Linked DNA regions of Anolis sagrei. The protein of the gene in region 1 interacts with the protein of each later gene in a biochemical or structural test. Links are inferred from orthologs where the notes say so. Each region holds a gene or a part of one and is shown on either strand. Other genes may lie near its edges.

Region 1 (7,291 bases):
AAAAAAAGAGGAAGAAAAGGGAGATAGGGAAGCAGAAGGGAAGGGGGAAGGAGAAAAAGAGGGAGGGGGAAGAGAAGGAGGAAGACGAGGAAAGGGAAGAGGAGGAGGAAGGAAATAAGAGAAGGAAGAGGGAGAGAGGGGAGGAGGGAGAGGAGAAAAAAAGGTGGAGGGGGAAGAGGAGGAGGAAGGCAAAAAGAGAAGGAAGAGAGAGAGAGAGAGGAGGAGGAAGGGGAGGAGAAAAAAGGTGGAGGGGGGAGAAGAAGAAGAGGAAGAGGGGGAGGAAAGAGAAAAAGAGGAAGAAAAGGGAGGGAGGGAAGCAGAAGGGAAGGGGAAGGAGAAAAAGGGGGAGGGCGGAAGAGGAAGGCGGTGAAAGGGAAGAGGAGGAAGGAAATAAGAGAAGGAAGAGGAGGAGAGAGGAGGAGGAGGGAGAGGAGAAAAAAGGTGGAGGGGGGAGGAGGAGGAAGAAGAGGAAGAGGGGAGGAAGGAGAAAAAGAGGAAGAAAAGGGAGGGAAGCAGAAGGGAAGGGGGAAGGAGAAAAAGAGGAAGGGGAAGAGGAAGAAGGGGAAAGGGAAGAGGAGGAGGAAGGAAAAAAAGAGAAGGAAGAGGGAGAGAGAGGAGGAGGAGGGAGAGGAGAAAAAAAGGTGGAGGGGGAGGAGGAGGAAGAAGAAGAGGAAGAGGGAGGAAAGAGAAAAAGAGGAAGAAAAGGGAGGGAGGGAAGCAGAAGGGAAGGGGAAGGAGAAAAAGAGGGAGGGGGAAGAGGAGGAGGAAGGGAAAAAAGAGAAGAGGGAGGGAGAGGAGGAAGAAGAAGAAGGAGAAAGAAAAGGTGGAGGAGGGGGAGGAGGAGGAAGAAGAAGAGGAAGAGGGGAGAGAAGAGGAGGAGAAGGTTGTCAAGGCGACTACGCAGGGCAATTAACAAGGATGGAAACGTCTCTTGAAATGCAAACAGTGGTTAAGCATGACCTTGGCAAATACACTCGAGCGGCTTATATTTATTTTTTAAAAAACAACTTCAAAACAAGCAAATCCACAGAAATCCTCGAGAGCCCTGTCATCCTATGTCGAGGTCGTTGTTTGGTGGTGGTGGTGTTCCGAGGCTCAGCCTTGGGGCAGAGACGATCCCCCGACCTGGGCAGGCGCAGGCTCAGCAGGGACAGCTCATTGGCCAAGATGCGTCCGGGCTGCACCAAGGAGCCTCGCCTAAGCCTCCCTGCGTCACGCGGCGGCGGCTGTCTCGACGTCTGTCTCCTCGCGCTCCTCCCTTTTGCGGCGCTGCCTAGACCCGCCTTTACGCAGGAGGAGGGAGGGGGGCAGGGGGGCGTGACAGCCGCATGTAGGTCGCCTCAGAAGACAAGCCATCGATCGAGAGGGTTGCTGCTGCTGGGTCATCCTTACAAAACATCCGATGAAGGGAGCCTCATGCGGGCCTCCATGGGCTGGCAGTGGGGTCGTGGGGAGCCCCTTCTAAACAACCTCCCCTCCTTGGCTTTCAATTACAAAGGCAACCAAGGCGTTTCGGCCCCGTTGTTGTGATGAATACCCCACTTTTTCTCTCCGTAAGGAGACTCCAAGAGACTTACATTCAGGCCCGTAGCCAGGATTTTGTTTGGGACGGGGGGGAGGCTGAGTCTGAATGAGAGAGGATCTACCCCAGCAAACCTTTTGTATCGTTATCCCAATACCCCCATGCCAGAGGCGGCCCTAGGTAATTTTCAACGGTAAGCAAACAGTATCTGGCGCCCCCCCCCCCCAACCAATCATTGATATATATTTTCTGTTTGTGGTGGGAGTTCTGTGTGCCATATTTGGTTCAATTCCATCATTGGTGGAGTTCAGAATGCTCTTTGATTGTAGGTGAACTATACATCTCAGTAACTACACTTGCCGCACTTGCTCCCTTGCCTGGCCCGCTTTGGGTCCAGAGGCATGCCTGAAGACCCCGGTGTGTGCACCAAAAGTCACCTCTTCTCCTGACTTTCTCCTCAGCCATTGGGACCCAGAGAGGGAGAGGTGGAGATGCCCACCTTTCCTGAAGGTAGGTGCAAAAACAAAGGAGGGAGCGGAGGTGGGAGATACCTCCAGCCGGAGGGGCTCTCTCTCTCTCTCTCTTGGTCCCAATGGCTGAAGAGAAAGTCAGGAGAAGAGACTTTTGGTGCGCACGCTGGGGTCTTCAGACACTCCTCCAGACCCGAAGTAGGCCAGGCATGGCGGCTCCGCTCCTTGGCCGACCTGCGGATTGGGGAGAGGAGAGGAGGCGGGTGGAGCGCCGGGGATCAGGAAAGGGAGCCGGTCATGGGGAAGGGATCGAATGCGGAGAACAATTGAGCACTGGCTCTGCTTGTGCACCCGGTGGCCAGGTGGAGCAGGAAGAAGAGGGGCTAGGCGAGGCTCAAGGGCCCGGCCCCTTTGGGAAGAGGATCGCCCGGCAGCGAGGCAAGAAAGCCGAGGCTCCCCCCGGACTGCTAGGGCTATTGTGAGCTGAGGGGGCGCTCCTCAAGTGGCAGTCAAGGGGCATTTACAGAAGCGCCTCTGTGCCCCTGGCAAAAAAAAGTGTTCTGCGACCACTTACTTCGCGTAATGGACGAGCCGCCCCTGCCCCATGCATATGGGATATGAATAAACATAACAGTTTAAATAAGAAATGTTATTTATTTACTTTCATTAACAATATGTATAGAATAGAATCGTAGAATCCAAGAGTTGGAAGAGACCTCATGGGCCATCCAGTCCAACCCCCTGCCAAGAAGCAGGAATATTGCATTCAAAGCACCCCTGACAGATGACCATCCAGCCTCTGTTTAAAAGCTTCCAAAGAAGGAGCCTCCACCACACTCCGGGGCAGAGAGTTCCACTGCTGAATGGCTCTCACAGTCAGGAAGTTCTCCTCCGTCACAAGCACGGTTGGTGGGGACGAGAGAGAGGGCCTTCTCGGTGGTGGCCCCTTGCATCTAGAACATCCTTCAAATGCATTCAAATGAAGTCCAAGAAGTCCAAGTCCAAGAATAGGTAGAGAAGGAAGAAGAGAGAGAAAGGAAGGGAAAGAAAGGTGGGGGTGGGGGGAGGGAGGGAGGGAAGAGAAGGAAGGAATGAGAGAAAGAAGAGAAAGAGGGAGGGAAGCTTAGCCACAGCCACGCGTGGCGGGTACAGCTAGTAAATAAATAAACAAATAAATAAATGGACTGTCTGCTTTCAACCGGATTAAAGGGCAGTGCAGAAGGGGCCCAAATCATCTGATGCGGCCCTCCCGATGCTGGACTACAACTCCATGCCTTGGTCACCTCTAGATTGGACTACTGCAATGCACTCTACGTGGGGCTGCCCTTGAAAACGGCTCGGAAATTCCAACTGGTCCAACGGGCAGCAGCCAGGATGTTAACTGGGGCTCCTTACAGAGAGAGGTCAACCCTCCTGTTCAAGGAGCTCCACTGGCTGCTGTTTATTTTCCGAGCCCAATTTGAGGTGCAGGTGCTTACCTACAAAGCCCTGAACGGTTTGGGACCATCCTACCTGCGTGACCGCATCTCTTTCTATGAACCCACACATTCACTTTGTTCATCCAGAGAGGCCCTGCTCGTGATTCCGCCTGCATCGCAGGCGTGCTTGGTGGAGACTCGAGACAGGGCCTTTTCCGTGGTGGCCCCCCGACTCTGGAACGCCCTCCAAAAGATCTTAGACAGGCCCCTACATTGGCAGTCTTTAGAAAGAACTTGAAGACCTGGCTGTTCCGATGTGCCTTCCCAGATTAGGAATCTCCAATACCAAGTCCCAGAAGCACTTTAGTAGAACTAAGATTGCTGCACACCGCACACTGCACTTACTTTATAATCCTACATACCTCCTGCCACATCAGCACTTTTAATCTTGTACCCATTACTCTGGACCGGCCCAGTTTTATAGTGTCTTGATGTATTGTTTATTGCTTGTTGTTAATATTGTTTAACTGTTTTTAATTTGCTTTAGGTGTTGTATTGTGTTGTGTTTTGAGGCCTTGGCCTATGTAAGCCGCATCGAGTCCTTCGGGAGATGCTAGCGGGGTACAAATAAAGTTTAATAATAATAATAATAACTCGTTTGTTTCCTTCACTATGAGACATCATGACTTACAAAAGAGATGCATCATTTTTTGGAAGCTTTCCTGATTCTAGTGTGGCCTTCACCCAAGAAACGTATCCCCCTTTGATTCAAGCAGGAGCCTGCCTCTCCTTTGATTCCACCCCCTACACCCCCCCCCCGCGCAGAAATGGTGCAGTCCCAAAATGCGGGCGGCAGAGGCCGATGCGGGCTTTTAGCTCGGTGACGTCACAATGCCCGGCTTGAACCCTGGGTGTTTGTTGTGAATCTTGTGATCAGCTGAGCGAGGGAGGGAGGGAGACAGAGAGAGAGAGAGAGAGAAGCAAGGAGGCCGCCGTCGCGAAGGGGTTCTGAGTTCGCCTGAGACATGAAGTTCCAATACAAGGAAGACCATCCTTTCGAGTACAGGAAAAAAGAAGGGGAGAAGATCCGAAAGAAATATCCAGACCGGGTGCCTGTGAGTGGAAGGGGGGGGGGGGGGGAGGGGAACAGGCGGATGGGTGGGCGGGTCTATATTTTCAGGGTGTCTGTTGTCCTTCAAAGAGCTCCACTGAGACCGGACGTCGTTGTTGTTGTTGTTGTTGTTGTCCTCTAATCCCCCTCGCGCCCCCCCCCTCCGTTGGCCGGGGTGCTGCTTGGGAGCCGAAAGGGGCGGAGCTCCGTTTCCCCCTCTCCCCTTTCCTAAACATGGAAGCGGGGAGGACAAAGGCTGGGGGACGAAGTAACCTTTAGTAACCCGAAGCAGGCGCCCCAGGAGGGCTAATCCTTGGCACTGTGGCAAGTGTTGCTATATTTCTGTATTTCCCACACATACCTACTGCTTTTGGTCAGCAAACAAGTAGCTTACGGCTAGACCGCATCCTGGGGATGTTTGCTTCCGGTTTTTTGGTAGCATTATAGCCCTTCTTTCTAGCACAGCATTTCTCAACCTGGGGGTCGGGACCCCTGGGGGGGGGGTCGCCAGGGGGCGTCAGAGAGGTCACCAAAGACCATCAGAAAACACAGTATTTTCTGTTAGTATGGGGGTTCTGTGTGCCAGGTTTGGCCCAATTCTATCGTTGGTGGAGTTCAGAATACTCTTTGATTGTAGGTGAACTATAAATCCCAGTAACTACAACTCTCAAAGCTCAAAGTCTATTTTCCCCAAACTCCACCAGTGTTCACATTTGGACATATTGAGTACTTGTGCGAAGTTTGGTCCAACCACCATGTCAGACTACACAGAGAAGCCATTGAAATCCACAAGCATGTGGACAATTTCAACAGAAAGGAAGAGACCATGAAAATGAACAAAATCTGGCTACCAGTATTAAAAAACTCTAAAATTATAACAGCTAAACAACAGAGAGGAAAAGCCAGGCACAGATTAACACCTCCCAGCAACAGATTTTCCCAGACTCAGGCAGGCCTTCAAATGCTAATGAAGGTGATCAGCTAAACATTCACACCTAATTGCAGCAGGGAAGAGCTCCTTGCCCCACCCCAGCCATTCCACAGATATATAAACCCATTTTTCCTACTTCCAACAGACCTTCTCAACCTCTGAGGATGCTTGCCATAGATGCAGGCGAAACGTCAGGAGAAATGCCTCTAGAACATGGCTCTATAGCCCGAAAAAACCCACAAGAACCTAGCAAATCCACCATTGTTTGAGTCCACAGTGATTTCTGGATGTAGGTGAACTACAAGTCCAAAACTCAAGGTCAATGCTCACCAAACCCTTCCAGCATTTTCTCTCGGTCATGGGAGTTCTGTGTGCCAAGTTTGGTTCAATTCTATCATTGGTGGAGTTCAGAATGCTCTCTGATTGTAGATGAACTATAAATCCCAGCAACTACAACTCTCAAATGACATAATCAATTCCTCCCCCCCCCCCCCCCTCCCCAATCTCACCAGTATTCAAATTTGGGCATATCATGTATTTGTGCCCAGTTTGGTCCAGTGAATGCAAATACATCCTACATATCAGATATTTACATTACAATTCATAATAGTACCAAAATGACAGTTATGAATTAACAATTAAAATAATGTTATGGTTGGGGGTCACCACAACATGAGGAACTGGATGAAGGGGTCACGGCATTCGGAAGGTTGAGAACCAGTGTTCTAGCAGGTTTGAAATCAGGATAATAGAAGAGGCCTCATGGGCCATCCAGTCCAACCCCCTGCCAAGAAGCAGGAAAAACGCATTCAAAGCCCCACCAATAGATGGCCATCCAGCATCTGTTTAAAAGCCTCCAAAGAAGGAGCCCTCCAACACTCTCCGTTCCACTGCTAAACGGCTCTCACAGTCAGGAAATTCATAGAATCAAAGAGTTGGAAGAGACCTCATGGGCCATCCAGTCCAATCCCCTGCCAAGAAGCAGGAAAAACTCATTCAAAGCCCCACCAACAGATGGCCATCCAGCCTCTGTTTAAAAGCCTCCAAAGAAGGAGTTTCCACCACACTCCAGAGCAGAGAGTTCCACTGCCGAGCAGCTCTCACAGTCAGGAAATTCTTCCTAATGTTCAGATGGAATCTCCTTTCCTGTCGTTTGAAGCCATTGTTCCACATCCTAGTATCCAAGGCAGCAGAAAACAAGCCTGTTCCCTCCTTCCAATGACTTCCCCTCACATATTTCTATATGCCCTCATCATGTTTCTTCTCAGCCCACTCTTTAAGCCACTCCTCATTGGGCTTGTTCTCCAAACCCTTCATTTTAGTCACCCTTCTCTGGACACATTCCAGCTTGTCAACATCTCCCTTCCGTTGTGGTGCCCAGAATTGGACACAGTATTCCAGGTGTGGTTCTCACCAAGGCAGAATAGAATAGAAGGGGGAGCATGACTTCCCTGGACCTAGACCAGGGGTCCTCAAACTAAGGCCCGATGGCCAAATATGGCCCTCCAGGGTCATTTACCTGGCCCTTACTCAGGGTCAACCAAAGTCTGAAACAACTTAAAAGCACACAGTAACAACAAGAACAACAATCCTATTTCATCAGCCAAAAGTAGGCCCATATTTCCCATTGAAATGCTAAGAAGTTTATAGTTGTTAAAATTGTTCATCTTAATTATTGTGTTGTTGTTAGGTGTTTTTTGCACTACAAATAAGATGTGTGCATAGGAATTCATTCATGTTTTTTTTTTCAAATTATAATCCAGCCCTCCAACGGTTTGAGGCACTGTCACCTGGCTCTCTGTTTAAAAAGTTTGAGGACCCCTGATATAGACCCTAGAC
Region 2 (7,929 bases), on another chromosome or scaffold:
AGACCAACATCCAGGAGGAAATTACCAACATAACGCCTGTGATGCTGGCAAGAGTCATGACAAACGCCAGAAATTGGTTTACTTAGTGTGTGGAAAATGGAGAATGGGGGACGTCAGCTATCTAATTTGATCTTCAAAACTACGTAAAACAAAACTTTAGGTATGTGGCTACATTATATTAAAAATGGGTTTTATTAAGTTTTGAAAAAAGGAAGTTATACTGCCTCACCCTGTATTTGAAAATAATACTAATTGTGATGATGGTGGTGGTGATGGAGTCGCCTTCTTTGGAGCTTTAAAGTAAGGGCCGAGTGGCCATCTGTCGGTAGGGATCGGGTTGTGCATTCCTTTTGCTTTTGGACATTCTGCCCCATCTGTACCCCACCCCAAGTCCCTTCAAGGAGATGGCGGGGAGGAAGAATTAAGTTGCTGCCCTGTTTGTGATGATGGTGATGATCAGGGCGACTCAACCCATTACACAAAGTAAGCGTTTGCAGTATAGTTGATTTTGCCCAGGGACGCTCTTGAGGCGCTCTTGGGGGAAAATAGACCTTGACATATGCGAGTTGTAGTTACTGGGATGTATAGTTCACCTACAATCAAAGAGCATTCTGAACTCCACCAATGATGGAATTGAACCAAATATGGCACACAGAACTCCCACGATGAACAGAAAATATATATCAGTGATTGATTGGGGAGGGGGGGTCAAAATACTGTTTGCTTACCATTGAAAATTACCTACGGCTGCCTCTGATGATAATTTATGGTTGGAGGAGCGGGGCTCTGTCTTCGGAGGCCCCTCCTCATTCTATTATTATGATTTTGAAGAAGGAGCCGGGTGGCCAACTGCCGGGAGGGGTCAGGTTGTGTTCCAAGTTTTAATCCAGCGAATCTACAGCCATAAAGACTTTTTGAATGTGGACTCTTTATCTCGGAAATCAAAACCGGGCAAAGGGGGGAGGAGGGGGGAATAAACAATGTGCATCGTTTTCCTGTAAATATCTGATTTTGAAAGAAATCCTTGAAACCAGAATTAAAAATATTTGGCGTTTTCACGCGGTGTTAATGCACTTGTCTCATTCACATCATGAGGGAATACGCTGTTTGCAGTCAAAGGTCACTTCAACTGCCAAGGTTACCCTGGGAGTTATAGTTTGTTGGGACCGAGGCCGGCCGCTAAGGCAGAGAAGGCAAGAGGTCCTGAAAGAAACCACAACTCCCATCATTCCCTCGCATGGAGGCTGGGCATGGACAGGCAATGTCGGGTCCTTCGCATGGAGTTTGGACTTCAACTCCCAGGTGCCTTGGCTGCTTTGGCCAAAGACTTTTTTTTTTTGTTGTGTCAGGAGACTTGAGAAACTACAAGCCGGATCGTAAGCCGGATCGGGGTATAGGGTGGCAACCTGTGCTAGACGGGGTTGCACTCCCCCTGAAGTCACAGGTCCGCAGTCTGGGTGTCTTCCTGGACTCATCACTTATGTTTGAAGCTCAGGTGTCGGCGGTGGCCAGGAGGGCCTTCGCACAATTAAGACTCATGCGCCAGATGCCACCATACCTCGTGAAGTCGGATCTGGTCAGGGTGGTCCATGCCTTAGTCACCTCCAGATTGGATTACTGTAATGCACTCTACGTGGGGCTGCCCTTGAAGACGGCCTGGAAATTTAAATTGGTACAATGGGTGGCAGCCAGGTTACTAACTGGTGCTTCTAACAGAGAGCGATCAACCCCTCTGTTTAAGGAGCTCCATTGGCTGCCGTTCATTTTCCGGTCCCAGTTCAAGGTGCAGGTTCTTACCTACAAAGCCCTGAACGGTTTGGGACCCGCCTTTCTGTGTACGAACCCACACGATCTCTTCGATCATCTGGAGAGGCCCTGCTCGCGCTCCCACCTCCTTCGCAGATGGGAAGAGGGCCTTCTTGGTGGTGGCCCCTCGACTCTGGAACTTTCTCCCCAAGGACATCAGGCATGCCCCAACTCTGGCAGTCTTTAGGAGGAGCCTGAAAACGTGGTTGTTCCAGTGTGCCTTCCCAGAATAAGGAAATCTCTTAGCAATATGACCTCAAAATGTACTTTACCACTAATTTAGGACTGACTGTGTTCCCTCATCTCTCTGAAAATGCTATACCAGCTATATCCTACCTTGTTCATGCCCAGCATTATTTTTTAAATTTTAACTATTATATTTTAAATATTAACTATTATATTTAAGTGCTTGTGTATTACTGTTTATTGTTTAAATGTAAAAATGGCAAAGCAGCTGGCCTGGATGATCTACGGATGGAACAAATCAAGAACTTTGGCCCAAAAGCAAGGTGCTGTCTGCAGGAACTGATGAACAACTGCACTGCATCCTGTCAGATCCCCAAAATCTGGAGGAAAGCAAGAGTCATCGCCATCTTGAAGCCAGGCAAAGATCGTAATGATCCAAAAAGCTATAGACCAATCTCCCTGTTGTGCCACCTCTACAAAGTTCTGGAGAGACTTATTCTGCATAGAATTATGGAAAAAATAGACCCCTGTCTGATTCCACAGCAAGCTGGCTTCAGCAAAGGCAAAAGCTGCACATCGCAAGTGCTGAACCTGACTCAGCACATAGAAGATGGCTTTGAAAGGCAGCAGATCACAGGAGCTGTCTTCACAGACCTGTCAGTGGCTTATGATACTGTAAACCACCGCCTCCTCCTGAGAAAAATGTATAATATCACAAAGGACTACCCAACTCACCCGCCTCATAGGAAACCTGCTACAAAACAGGAATTTTTTTGTGAGTTCCAGGGTCAGAGAATCAGATGGCGGAAACAGAAGAACGGCCTGCCTCAGGGGAGTGTGCTTGCTTCATCCATGTTCAACATCTACACAAATGACCAGCCACTGCCAGAAGGGACAGAGAGCTTCATCTATACTGACGATCGTGCCATTACTGCTCAAGCAGGGAGCTTTGAGATGGTAGAACAGAAGCTCTCCGAAGCTCTAGGTGCTCTTACTGCCTATTACAGGGAAAACCAGCTGATCCCTAACCCATCCAAAACACAGACATGTGCCTTTCACCTTAAGAACATACAAGCATCCCGGGTTCTGAGGATCACCTGGGAAGGAATCCCACTGGAGCATTGCAGCACACCCAAATACCTGGGAGGAGTCACCCTGGACCGTGCTCTGACCTACAAGAAAGCACTGCCTGAACATCAAGCAAAAAGTGGGTGCTAGAAACAATATCATACGAAGCTGACTGGCACAACCTGGGCATCACAACCAGACACAGTGAAGACATCTGCCCTTGCGCTATGCTACTCTGCTGCTGAGTACGCATGCCCAGTGTGGAACACATCTCACCACACTAAAACAGTGGATGTGGCTCTTAATGAGACATGCCGCATTATCACAGGGTGTCTGCGCCCCACACCACTGGAGAAATTACACTGTTTAGCTGGTATTGCACCACCTGACATCCGCCGGGAAGTAGCAGCCAATAATGAAAGGACCAAGGCAGAGACATCTCCAGCTCATCCCTTGTTTGGATATCAGCTAGCACGTCAATGACTTCTTTATTTACATTATTTCTATCCTGCCCATTTCAGTCTGAAGGCGACTCAGGGCGGTATACACAGTCGGCACAATTCGATGTCGAAACAAAATACATACATTAATATAGCAAAAACATCAATGCAATTAAACATAAACGAAAGTGCATAATAAACAATTTAAAAAGAAAGTATGTCTTCTCATTCAAATCTTCATCCGTTACATTGTCTTGGCCGTTCCTGGGTCAATTTCCATCTCTAGTTTGTCCGTTTACTCTGGGGTTCCAAATTCTTGCTCGAAGAGCCATGTTTTTACTCTTTTTCGGAAAGTCAGGAGGGAGGAGGCTGATCTCATATCCCTAGGGAGGGAGTTCCACAGCCGGGGGGCCACCACAGAGAAGGCCCTGTCTCTCGAAGCAGGCAGGATCGAGAACAGGGCCTCTCCAGACCACCTTAAGTTCCTGCGGGGTTTGTAAACATGCCCAGCTCCTTAAGCCGCTCCTCACAGGGCTTGTTTTCCAGATCCTTGATCATTTGAGTCGCCCTCCTCTGGACACATTCCAGCTTGTCAATTGTTGTTGTTGTGTACAATATATTATATTATGACCACAACGCAATATTGTTGTTGTTCGTTCGTTCAGTCATCTCCGACTCTTCGTGACCTCATGGACCAGTCCACGCCAGAGCTCCCTGTCGGCCGTCACCACCCCCAGCTCCTTCAAGGTCAGTCCAGTCACTTCAAGGATGCCGTCCATCCATCTTGCCCTTGGTCGGCCCCTCTTCCTTTTGCCTTCCACTTTCCCCAGCATAATTGTCTTCTCTAGGCTTTCCTGTCTCCTCATGATGTGGCCAAAGTACTTCAGCTTTGTCTCTAGTCTCCTTCCCTCCAGTGAGCAGCCGGGCTTTATTTCCTGGAGGATGGACTGGTTGGATCTTCTCGCAGTCCAAGGCACTCTCAGCACTTTCCTCCAACACCACAGCTCAAAAGCATCGATCTTCCTTCGCTCAGCCTTCCCTCAGGTCCAGCTCTCACATCCGTAGGTGACTACAGGGAAGACCATGGCTTTGACTAGGCAATGGATCTTCATTGCCAGTCTGATGTCTCTACTCTTGACTATTTTATCGAGACTGGACATTGCTCTCCTCCCAAGAAGGAAGCGTCTTCTGATTTCCTGGCCACAGTCTGCATCTGCAGTCATCTTTGCACCTAGAAATATCAATATCTTGTCAATATCTCTCTTGAAATGTGGTGCCCAGAATTGGACACAATATTCTAACCAAAGCAGAATAGAGAATGGGTAGCCTTTGCTGAGAAGGGAGAGGCAGGAGTGGGCGGGGCCTTGGCCTGGAGCTTTGGACTTCACTTCCCAGAAGCCTCGGCAAAGCCAGCGAACGGCGGGGGATGCTGGGAAATGAAGTTTGAAGGGAAGCAGGCGTGGCATTTTCCTCCTTTTACCTCAGAGTAATACTGGACTTGCCCTCCCAGAAGCCTCAGCCTCAGCGGGAATGCTGGGAATCGTAGTCCCGGGGCGCTGAGGCGATTATCCGGGATGCCTTCGGCGGCGGAGCGGGAGGAGGGCGGGCGGCGCCTCTGCGGCTACCTGGGCCACCTGGAGGGCCGGGGCCGGCGGCGGGGCTTCCGGAGCCGGTGGTGGGCCTTCGAGCCGCGCCGCTGCGCCCTCCTGGCCTTCCGCAGTCCCCGCGAGGAGGCCCAGGCCCGCCCGCCCCTCGTCAGCCTCGACGTGGCTCGCGCCGCCTTCGCCATCGCCGCCCCGCCAGAACAGGACGGGGAGCGCGGGGAGGAGGAGACGGAGGGCGAGGGCGAGCAGGAGGAGCGAGAGGAGCAGGCCGGGCCCACCGCCTTCGAGCTGCACGAGCCCGGCGGGGGAGTCGCCGTCCTCAAGGTAGGCCAGGGAGAGGCCTGTGGGCAAGGCTGGAGGAGGGAGGGGGCCTCTTCCCCTCCTAGGCCGTACCTTCCCCTGGAAGTAATGACCAGAAAGCACTAGAACAGGCATGGGCAAACTTCAGCCCTCCAGGTGTTTTGGACTACAACTCCCACAATTCCTAACAGCCTACCAATGATGGATCTGGACCAAACAATACACGGATACTCAATATGCCCAAATGTGAACACTGGTGGACTTTGGGGAAAATAGAATCTTGACATTTGGGAGTTGTAGTTGCTGAGATTTGTAGTTCACCTAAAGTTTTTATTATTATTATTATTATTATTATTATTATTCTGTATCTTTGCATTTCATTTTTTTCTGCCTAAGTGTCATATCTTACATTTGTCCTTGTTGAAATCCATTTTGTTATTTTTGGCCAATCAGTGCTCTCATCAGTTAAGGTCATTTTGAATCCTGGTCCTGGCCTCTCCCTCCCAATTTGGTCCCATCTGCACACTTGATCAGCAGGTCCTCTAAACCAGGGTTCCTCAAACTAAGGCCCAGGGGCCAAATACGGCCCTTCAAGGTCATTTACCCGGCCCTTGCTCAGGGTCAACCTAAGTCTGAAACAACTTGAAAACACACAACAACAATGATATCTCATCAGCCAAAAGCAGGCCCACACTTCCCATTGAATTACTAATAAGCTTATATTGGTTAAAACTATTCTTCATTTTAATTATTGTATTGTTTTTAAGTGTTATTTGCACAACAACTAATATATGTGCAGTGTGCATAGGAATTCATTCATGTATTTTTCAAATTATAATCCGGCTCTCCAACAGTTTGAGGGACTGTGACCTGGCCCTCTGTTTAAACAGTTTAAGGATCTCTGCTCTAAACCTTCATCCAAGTCATTAATAAAGATGTTGAACAGTATTGGGTCCCAGGAACTGAACTCTGCAGTACTCCACTAGACAACCTTTTGCTCTGATCCAGTTGCTGCTTGGCTTTTCAGTCAAGCAGCAGAGAACGTATGCAAGTTTTGCAAGGTGCAATTGCACAACTGCTGAGAAGGAAGTCTGCCTCTTCCTTCCTGCCTTGTGGGGCCCACTTCCAGAGAAGACACCTGGTGTTAGATTGCGTCCACTGTTAGAAGCCTGCTTAGCCAGAGTCACTGACCAAAAGGCCCCGATCGTTGGACTTGTCCTTGGAGGCCAACCAGTGTCTGTCATGGATGAGGGACCAGCATCCATGACAGAGGAGGCCTGTTGGCAGGTGTTTCGATCAGACTCTGTGCTTAAAACAGTCTGTTAGGAATTGTGGGAATTGAACAGTCAATGGGCCATTAGGAATTATTTATTATTATTATTTATTTATTATTTGCACTTGTTAACCGCCACTCTCAGCCCGAGGGCGACTCGTGGCGGTGTACAGAACATAGAAAAGACAACAATTTACAATAGATCAAGACATAACACAACATCTAAAAATCCGCTTCGTCTAGTTTGGGGTCATAATCAATCTCATAGTCATAGTCCATTCCGGTGGTCATTCCAACAAAGACATAGCACTTAGTTGAAGGCCTTTTCGAAGAGCCAGGTTTTCAGGCCCTTGCGGAAGGCCATGAGGGAAGGCGCCTGTCTGATTTCAGCAGGGAGGGAGTTCCATAGCCGGGGGGCCACCACCGAGAAGGCCCGCTCTCTCGTCCCCGCCAGGCGTGCCTGTGAGGCAGGTGGGACCGAGAGAAGGGCCTCCCCAGATGATCTCAAGGTCCTCGTGGGCTCGTAGGCCGAGATGCGGTTCGCAAGGTATTTTGGGCCGGAACCGTTTAGGGCTTTGTAGGATAACACCAGCACCTTACATTGGGCCCGGTAGCAAATCGGCAGCCAGTGGAGCTGGGACAGCAAGGGCGTTGTGTGCTCCCTGCGTCCCGCTCCGGTTAACAACATGGCTGCCGCGCGCTGGACTAGCTGGAGCTTCCGGGCCATCTTCAAGGGCAGCCCCACGTAGAGAGCGTTGCAGTAGTCGAGGCGGGATGTGACCAAAGCGTGTACCACCGTGGCCAAGTCAGACTTCCCAAGATACGGGAATTGACGTCAAAAACACCTGGAGGAGGGTCAAAGTTAACCCATGCCTTCCTTATGGTTTCTGACCTGTATCCAGTTCTATAAGGAAACAAAATCCTATAATGGCTAGACAGGGGCATCCTACAGGAATAAAACAATCCCACCTTTGTTCCAGCTTGCTCTAACTCACATGCTTTAATTTTCCTAAAGCTTATTCATAGCTTTAAGCCTGCATCATGGGATGTTCTCTCATTTATTATTCTGTAGTACAGTGGTTCTCAACCTTCCTAATGCCACGATCCCTTAATACGCTTCCTCATGTTATGGTGACCCCCAATCATAAAATTAGTTCATTGCTACTTCATAACTGTCATTTTGCTGCTGTTATGAATAGTAATGTAAATATCTGATATGCAGGATGTATTTTCATACACTGGACCAAATTTG

Evidence for each region.
Region 2: the proteins of GABARAPL1 (region 1) and TBC1D2B form a complex in vitro, tested with the Homo sapiens proteins (2 studies listed by BioGRID and IntAct). The link is inferred for Anolis sagrei from reciprocal best matches to the Homo sapiens genes GABARAPL1 and TBC1D2B.

Annotation. Positions count from the first base shown.
Region 1 is NC_090022.1:168,111,872-168,119,162, reverse strand, and holds the start of GABARAPL1 (gamma-aminobutyric acid receptor-associated protein-like 1), read left to right. Parts: upstream 1-4,276; 5' UTR 4,277-4,435; coding exon 4,436-4,525; intron 4,526-7,291. UniProt on the Homo sapiens protein: Ubiquitin-like modifier that increases cell-surface expression of kappa-type opioid receptor through facilitating anterograde intracellular trafficking of the receptor. Involved in formation of autophagosomal vacuoles.
Region 2 is NC_090029.1:12,556,865-12,564,793, forward strand, and holds the start of TBC1D2B (TBC1 domain family member 2B), read left to right. Parts: upstream 1-4,924; 5' UTR 4,925-5,074; coding exon 5,075-5,428; intron 5,429-7,929. UniProt on the Homo sapiens protein: GTPase-activating protein that plays a role in the early steps of endocytosis.